Linked DNA regions of Rattus norvegicus. The protein of the gene in region 2 purifies or fractionates together with the protein of the main gene of each other region. This does not show direct contact. Links are inferred from orthologs where the notes say so. Each region holds a gene or a part of one and is shown on either strand. Other genes may lie near its edges.

What was found.
Region 1: the proteins of Pgm1 (region 2) and Grhpr fractionate together in Homo sapiens (co-fractionation; 3 studies listed by BioGRID). This does not show direct contact. The link is inferred for Rattus norvegicus from reciprocal best matches to the Homo sapiens genes PGM1 and GRHPR.

The regions. Positions count from the first base shown.
Region 1 is NC_086023.1:64,028,622-64,032,533, reverse strand, and holds the start of Grhpr (glyoxylate reductase/hydroxypyruvate reductase), read right to left. Parts: upstream 2,679-3,912; 5' UTR 2,642-2,678; coding exon 2,538-2,641; exon of another isoform or gene 2,358-2,537; intron 1,167-2,357; coding exon 1,036-1,166; intron 169-1,035; coding exon 96-168; intron 1-95. UniProt on the Homo sapiens protein: Enzyme with hydroxy-pyruvate reductase, glyoxylate reductase and D-glycerate dehydrogenase enzymatic activities. Reduces hydroxypyruvate to D-glycerate, glyoxylate to glycolate, oxidizes D-glycerate to hydroxypyruvate.
Region 2 is NC_086023.1:119,745,026-119,748,837, reverse strand, and holds part of Pgm1 (phosphoglucomutase-1), read right to left. Parts: intron 3,102-3,812; coding exon 2,911-3,101; intron 1,637-2,910; coding exon 1,482-1,636; intron 1-1,481. UniProt on the Homo sapiens protein: Catalyzes the reversible isomerization of alpha-D-glucose 1-phosphate to alpha-D-glucose 6-phosphate. The mechanism proceeds via the intermediate compound alpha-D-glucose 1,6-bisphosphate.

The DNA.
Region 1 (3,912 bases), about 56 Mb from region 2:
TCACGGAAGCACATGACACCAGGCAAGGGGAGAGCTCCTCTGGCGCAGCCTCCCCAAGGCAGGCCCTCCCTGTCCAGAGTCCCAGCTGTACTCACCGTTTCTTGATCTCATCTAAAGCCAAGTGGTCAACCCCCACAGACAGGGTGCTGATGACTCTGAGGTTGGCTCCTGTTGTGCAGAAAACACATGTCTGTCCTCGAGGAACCCAAAGCCACGTTCTGGGGTTGGTCTTAGGAATACCGACTTATCATTTCTTAAATGAGGGGAGGAAGCTGCTATCCCTGTCCCTAGTATTAAGTTGATCTACTTTGCCACTGACTATAGGAGCTCAGGTAGAGTTCTGTCCCAGTTGCTGAACATTCTTCACGCCTTTTCAGGGCTCTTAACTCTCACCCACCAGTGGTTGTGGGTCCCCTTTAGCCACACCAAAAGCCTCTCCCCACCGACACTTGAAGTGCTGAGGTGGCTGGGGTGTGACTGTATCCTGTGCTCTCCTCCACTAAGTATCTGTCTGGTTAAGGCCAGGGTGAGAGTGGTTCTGCACCGAATCTGGCAGCCTAGGGTCTGAAGTGTTCCTTAAACTGACACAGTACAACTTACAGGACGATGTTCACTCTACCCAGGAATGAGACCTGGGGCCACTGCTGTGCGCACCCATCCTGGGTACCTATCAGTGCTCAGCACAGACAGTGCTGGGCCCCCTGTCCTGCAGCACACAGGCCCAGAGAGATCTCAAGGTCACAAAGCAAGGCCGTGGCACAGCAGAGAGGTTCAGAGCCCAGGATACCCTCCCTTCTCCACCCTCCAACCTCTACTCCCACCCAGGTATCACATGGTCTTTGCCCTCTTGGAGCCTCCCAGGATCTTACAAACCAGATCGGGGACAACATATGTCAACTGGAGCTACTGCTGGGGGCGCCCTTAGAAGACAGGGAAAACACTACAGACAAGCTCAAAGGCCAGTTACAGCAGGCTGGTGTGCTCACCCGGCACGACCCCCCTCAGAACGTTGGCTCAGGCCGACTCAGCACATACCCGCAGCATCCAGAAGTTTCTTGTCCACGCGGTCACTGAGGCGGCAGAGCAAGCCATAGGCCCCCGCCACGCCTTGCTCCAGATCCTTGCTGGGGATGGGATCATCCGAATTCCACTGCTCTACCTCACAGCTGAAGGAAAGGGAAGCCACTCAAAGAATGTAGAGGGTCCTACAGTGTGCATGGCTGGCAAACATGGGCTTCCACGTGCTATGGCCTTAGGCTAGCCAGAGTTAAGGTCACTCGTGGGGAGGCTCAGAACTGTCTGGAGTGTAGCTGGAGGAGGGGCTGAAGGGCTACCAAAGTGGGGAAAGTTGACAAGAGCTGAAGGCTCCCCTGGCCATGGGAGCACTTGAGTGTGCTTCCTTAGCAGCCCAAAGTGTGAGGTGCTCCTCCAAACCCTTCCACTGAATCCAGAGCGGTCCTGGTGTGTGTACACAGGAGACACTGGACAGTGGCTGGCAAGTCCCCAGGTCCATTCGTCTCAGCTCCTCAGGACCAAAAGTACCAACAAAACAAGTCCTTAGGAAAAACTGTATTGTGCTAGAAAATCTTCAAAACAAATCACATTCCCCAAACCATCAGAATTTAATCCCAGCACTCTAAAGGCAGTGGCAGACCTATCTCTGTAAGTTCGAGGGCAGCCTGGTCAAAAAGCAAGTTTCAGGACAGGCAAGGGTGCAACACAGAGAAATCCTGTCTTGAAAAACAGAAAACAAACAAACAAACAAGCAAACAAAAACTGACTGCTGAGTGCTCTCACCTCCACCCAAACTGGCACCGTAATGCAAAGCTGTCAAGACAAAGTGGCTAAACCGGCAGTGGGAAAGGACTGAGCATAAAGGCCAGGTCTGCCGCCTGGAGCTCAGTGACCCTGGGGCCCTGTGTTCTCAAGTCGGTGATAGAGAACTTCTAAAGCTGACTTCACAGTGTTGGAAGGACTGAAAGTCTGTGTTCACAGCTCCAGATAAGATTCAATAAACAATCATTCAAAGATTCAGAGCACAATCATCAAACGCAAACGGCCCCATCCAGTATCCAAGGAGGCAAGCCAATGGCTGCCATAGTCCCTAAACACTCCTGCCTGCCAGCTAATCTCAGAGGGTAAAATTCACGGCCTGAACCTTGCCTCTTAGGCAATCTCACTTCACTGAAGGCTGGAGACCAATATCCTGGAGCCAGGAGCAAGCCGCCACCCGGAGAATTTTCTCTAAGGCGGCCCCAAACTCCAAGCCAGCCCCTTGAGGACACAGCTGGCAACTCCTGAGCAAAGCCCCCAAGCGCCAGCGCCACCCTCCCCGATCCTGGCTCCACTTAGCCTGCCTGCCAGGCGCCCGGCTCTTGGAAGGTAGCCCCCAGTCCTGGGACAGCTCCGGAAGCCCCAGCCGTGTGTCTGGAGACTCACGATCTACCCAGCGCGGCTGCAGGGGTGTCTGAGGTTGGGTGGACTGGACAGCGTGCCAGGGGCTCAGCTGCAGACCCCACGCCGACGCGGGCGCTTACTCTGTGGCCTGGGCGAGCGCAGCCCTGCCCTGGGCCGGCAAAGGGCCAGTGACGAACACCTTCATGAGTCGCGCGGGTTTCACAAGACCCGCAGCTGCAAACATTAACCAACCTAGCCTAGCAAAAGGCGACGGAAGTGTGGGCGGGGCCGGCGTTGGGGGCGGGGCCAGCGCTGGGGGCTGGGCCGAGTCCGGACCCTAATCCATCCAGTGTGGCTGGGGCTGGCGCTCTGCAGATTTGGGTGTCCGGGGAAAGAGGCCCTTTATTTGTGTGGGTTGAGTGTAGGGCTTCAAGAGCCTTCTTGGGTGTGTGTGCTTTCAAGAGTGACAAGGTCTCGAGACTGTCAAGCATCCCTAAGAGCCTGGAGTGAAAGGCATACTGAAGAGGGCACCTGTGTGAGCGGCTATGGATATGTCTCTGACTATGCTGTCAGAGTGAGGAAAGGAGAAAGCCCTGATAGCCCTGTGAGGGCTATCTTAGCCAAACTATCCCAGACAGAGGCTTCTGGTTAAACACACAGAATTCTAAGCCAAGCCTGACCTGCGTGCTCTCAGGAGGCTAAGCAAGAGGGTCTGAATCCCGACATTATAGCTTTAACACTTAGGATGATTCCCTGGATTGTGATGATATTTTAACCTGCTGACGGTCTGGAAACAGTTCCTGAGCGAGTCAGGGACCAGGTATGCTGGGTCATGGGTAAGTCCAAGGTTTGCAGGTAGATGGGACTGAGTCTGGATCTTGGCTCTAACCCTTTCGAACTATTTGACCATGAGATGACATCCGAGCCCTAATCTGCACTCCCGCCCCTATTTCTTCAGGCACATAATGGGGATAACATTTCCATTGAAGGTTGTTTTCACTACTGAACGGGGCTGCTTAGCCCGAGGGTGGGAGTACTCAGCTGCCTGGGGCTAAATGCTCATTTCACCATGGTGTGCAATTATTAAACTTTGTGTGCCTCAGTTTCCTCATCTGTACAATGGGGATTGTAGTGGTACTTGCCTCTGCTTGCTGAGCAATGACATGTGTACTGTGCTTATAATAGAGACTGAGCCAGGCATGGTGACTATGCTTATAACCCAGCATTCAGGATGTAGAGGCAGGATTGCAAGTTCAAGGCCAGCCCAGACTTCACGGCAAGTGATGCAGGTCCTGAAAACAGTTTAGGGCTTGCTCAGGGTCCCGGGGCCTGCCCATGAGTTCTGCAGCCTCATTTCAGTCCCAAGGCTGTTCAGTGACTTGCTCTCTGGTCTGGATGGGCCCCAAGGGCAACACAGTGGACCCTTCACTGATTTTATGGAGACCCACGAGGACTCCAGTATATAATATACACAGTGTTGACAGTTGTCAACTGGGCCATTTGGGGTACCCACTA
Region 2 (3,812 bases):
TCTTAATCTTTGATGTAGGAGAGATTAATTTTCAGGAAGCAGCTGCTTTTAGCTGGTAAAGCAACAAAACTAAAACTCATCATAATAAACAGAGCATTTACTGTCTGTGACACAGGGGGATGTGGACCTTAGACAATCTCCCTTGTTTTCACACGGTTACCAATGTAAGGAGAAATTTATATACAAAATCTTCATTTTAGGGAAAGAATAAAAAGCTAATCCTCTTAGCACACTATTATATTAACTCTGAATAGTTTCATTATCCAGCTACCCTGACGTAGCTGCTCCCTAGCTGGCTGAATTTAATCAGCCTTCTTGACCTTGGACATGCACTAATACAGTGGGGTTATTGACAGCATTTAATAAGAATTGAATGACTTAATCAAATATGTAAAATATCTACTGTCCTGGCCAAGGGACCCTCCTTAAGCCTAGCCAGTCTTGTAAGTACCTGAATCAATACACTCTTCCCTTCCCACACCCATGGCCTTTTACTCATTCACTCCTCACTGTTAACTCAGCAGAAGATCCCTGAGGTCCTGATATGTTCTAAAGCATCCCCTGTTTGTTACTTAGACCTTTCACTTTTAATCATTTTCCATGGGCCTCACAAGTCTCCTTTTATAAATGAAAAAATGCCCAAGAGAACAAACGTGTAAGAAATTCTGATACTGTTTACTGCCACGGATCTTCTGTTGCAAGATCCATGCAAGGGCATGTATTTTCCCTATTGAACTTTCTGCTTTAGTGTTTGGACAAATGAGGCATCACTGCATTTAAGCCTGCAAGAGGAATCAGTTCTGATTAAAGTCTGAAGTCACTTTAAATGACTCTTTAAAGATGCATTTCATGTGTTTGGCTGTTTTGACTGCATATACCTATATGCCACATGTGTGCAGTGCTCTCAGAGGCCAGAAGAGGAGACTGAAATTATATATGGTTATGAGCCACCATGGAGGTGCTAGGGATCGAACCCTGGTCCTCTGGAAGAATAGTGTTCTTCTTAACTGCTGAGCCATCTCTCCAGGGCCCTCAAAATACTTTTTTAATCATGGTGTGTGCACACTGCTCAACAAAAGGGACCCTGCATAGATCAAGAATAACATCTTGACTACAAAGAAAGTACCATTCATTTATCTCTAGCGTTCGTTTACTTACTGTGTGCATCCTATTTGGGAACACTGCCACGCAGAATTAAGATGGTGAAAAAAAGGACAGTACTTTCTCTGTAGAGGTGACAGCCTAGCTGTGGAGCCATCAGACAGATAGCCTGACAGACCACAGTGTGGCGAGGACCAGGCTGGAGGAATGCAGGATGCTGATGGGCCTTAGAAGAGAGCTAACCCTGTAAATACCTCACTCAAGAAAGACTGCAGCCACAGGCTTATCCTGGAAGCGGAGGACTCATGCTCCAGGCACGGTGCTGGCATAATGAAGAACAGTGTGATGGGAGACAGGTGGGCCCAAGAATGGAGACCTACCGGTCCAGAGCACCACTTGTGGGCATGCTGCGGGCAAAGCCACGGACCCCAGTCTGCTGGAAATACGGAATGCTGAAGATGTTGGCGGCGATGACAGCCACAGAGTCAGAAGGGTTCACAAAGAACCCGTGCTTGCCCAGAATCATGTTCCTATCCTGGGGAAGAAAAAAGGTTCAATGTAAGACCTTTTAATCAGACAGCAAACAAGAGAGACAATAATCTGTGGAGTTTTCCAAAATTCAACCTGGGTCCTACACTCACACTGGGCTTTAAACACGGGATTTTTTTGGTGGTTTTGTGTAACACTGTGGGTCCAAAGGTACCTCCGTGCCCAAGAGTTAAAACTGGTTTCAATTAAAATGCAAGCACAAACCGCCTTTGAGCTGAGCCCTCTGTTCTCCCTCCTGGGGCCGCTAACTTTAACCTCCTAGACCTCTCCAAACTCTGGAACCAATCATGTCTCTCCCAGAGGAGGGGAAAGGATGTACAAGAGAGGAAATGTTGGCTGTTTATGCAGTTTGACAGGTCTACTGGGCATCCTCTGAGGAACAAAGGCAGACTTCTTCAAGGAAGGACTTCTAAATCATGGTTCCCTCCAATTGCTACCGGACCCCCCCCCAAAAAAAGGCCGCCACCCTCGCCGCTTCCAAGGTGCCTCCTGTGCTGCCACTCGAGCGCCTGAGACTCGAGGGGAAACGGCAGCACATCCTGCACTCCATCGGAAGATCCCTGGTGACACAGCATCTGCTCTGAGCCCCTTCAGTTCTCCTAAGTCTTGATGTAGGGAATATTAATTTTCAGGAAGCAGTTGCTTCTAGCTGGTGAAGCAGCAAAAATAAAAACTCATAATAAACAGAGCATTTACTGTCCGTGACACACAGGGATGTGCACCTTACACAATCTCCTTTGTTGTCACACGGTTACCAATGTAAGGAGAAATTTTCATTTTAGGGAAAGAACAGAACGTTGACTCTCTTAACGTACTCATTACATTGGCTATAAACAGTTTCACTATCCAGCTGGTATTAACAAATGCATGGGTATGTTATTAGATGAAATGCACGGGTATGTTATAAGATGAACCTTCTGTAGAGATTAAATGACCAATCGGCCTGGCTGAGACCTACCTTAGGGCCAGTATCTAGAACTCCTGCAGCTTCTGGAGTATAGTCATTAAATCCTAACTGGGACCTACACCCCCACTCGGCAAATCCGAGTGCCTGAAATCCAATGCACTGGTTATATTTCAAAGCCTTTTGTTTCTGCTCAAGAGGGTCTTTTAATCATTTGGCCCTGGCCTCCTGTGTAACAAAGGGCTCTTGAGAGCTACTCAGCAGGCTCCAATGGCCTGGTAGAAACTGTCCATTTTCCCCCTGCGTCTGCAAGGCCCAGCTTGCATGAGAAACCATTTAAATGTACCTATACACACCCCATCACCATCAAAGGCAGCCCCGAAATCATGCTCTCCTGACTTCATGGTTTCCACCAGGTCAGCAGCGTAGGTGAGGTTGGGGTCAGGGTGGTGGCCTCCAAAATCCTCCAGGGGAACACAGTTCACAGCTGAGTTTGCGGGGGCACCAAGTTCTTCACAGAGGATCTTCTTGACGTACGGTCCCACAACTGTAACAAATTAAAGGATGAATAGCCAAACCCTAAAACTTATTAAAATGTGGAATGGCTGCAGGGTGGGATGCACACTGTGGGAATAAGAATGGCATGGGCAACTTCCTATCCCCAGACACCATAGTATTTGAAAGGAGTCATCTACTGAGTCTCTGTCCGTTTTCCAAACATGTGCAGAGGAGGCCCTCAGCTCTGCCGACTAGTTGAGGAGGACACAAACCTTCCATATGAAGGAGGAAGGAGACTCCTCCTATCAAAACTAGAGGGCCAGCAAGGACCCAGTGGAAGGCTGCAGTCGAACAGTAGATTTTTTTTTCAGGGCAGTCTGCAGTGTATCAGGAAGCTCTGCTCAGACCCATGAAAGAGCTCAGGCAAATGCATCCTTCCCCAACCACACAGACAAGTCTGTGGGTTCCGCACCCCTGCCACTCAAATACTCTCCAGTCCTGAACTGCTGCAGGATAGGCAGAGTCTAAATAGTCATGAATTTTCATGATCTATATATGGGAAAGTCTCGTGGCTTCAGGTCATAGTCACGGTTGTCTCTACTGGCCTGGTCAAACAGCCCACAGAGGAAGAAGGATGGGAGATACACATCCTGTTGCTGCTGAGTTTAATCCTTGGCTTGCCCCGGCCCCCAGCTAAGAAAAGCATGTGGAAGCAATGGTGGTGGGGCTCGAGAACATGTCCCCCACAGCTGGCTAGTTA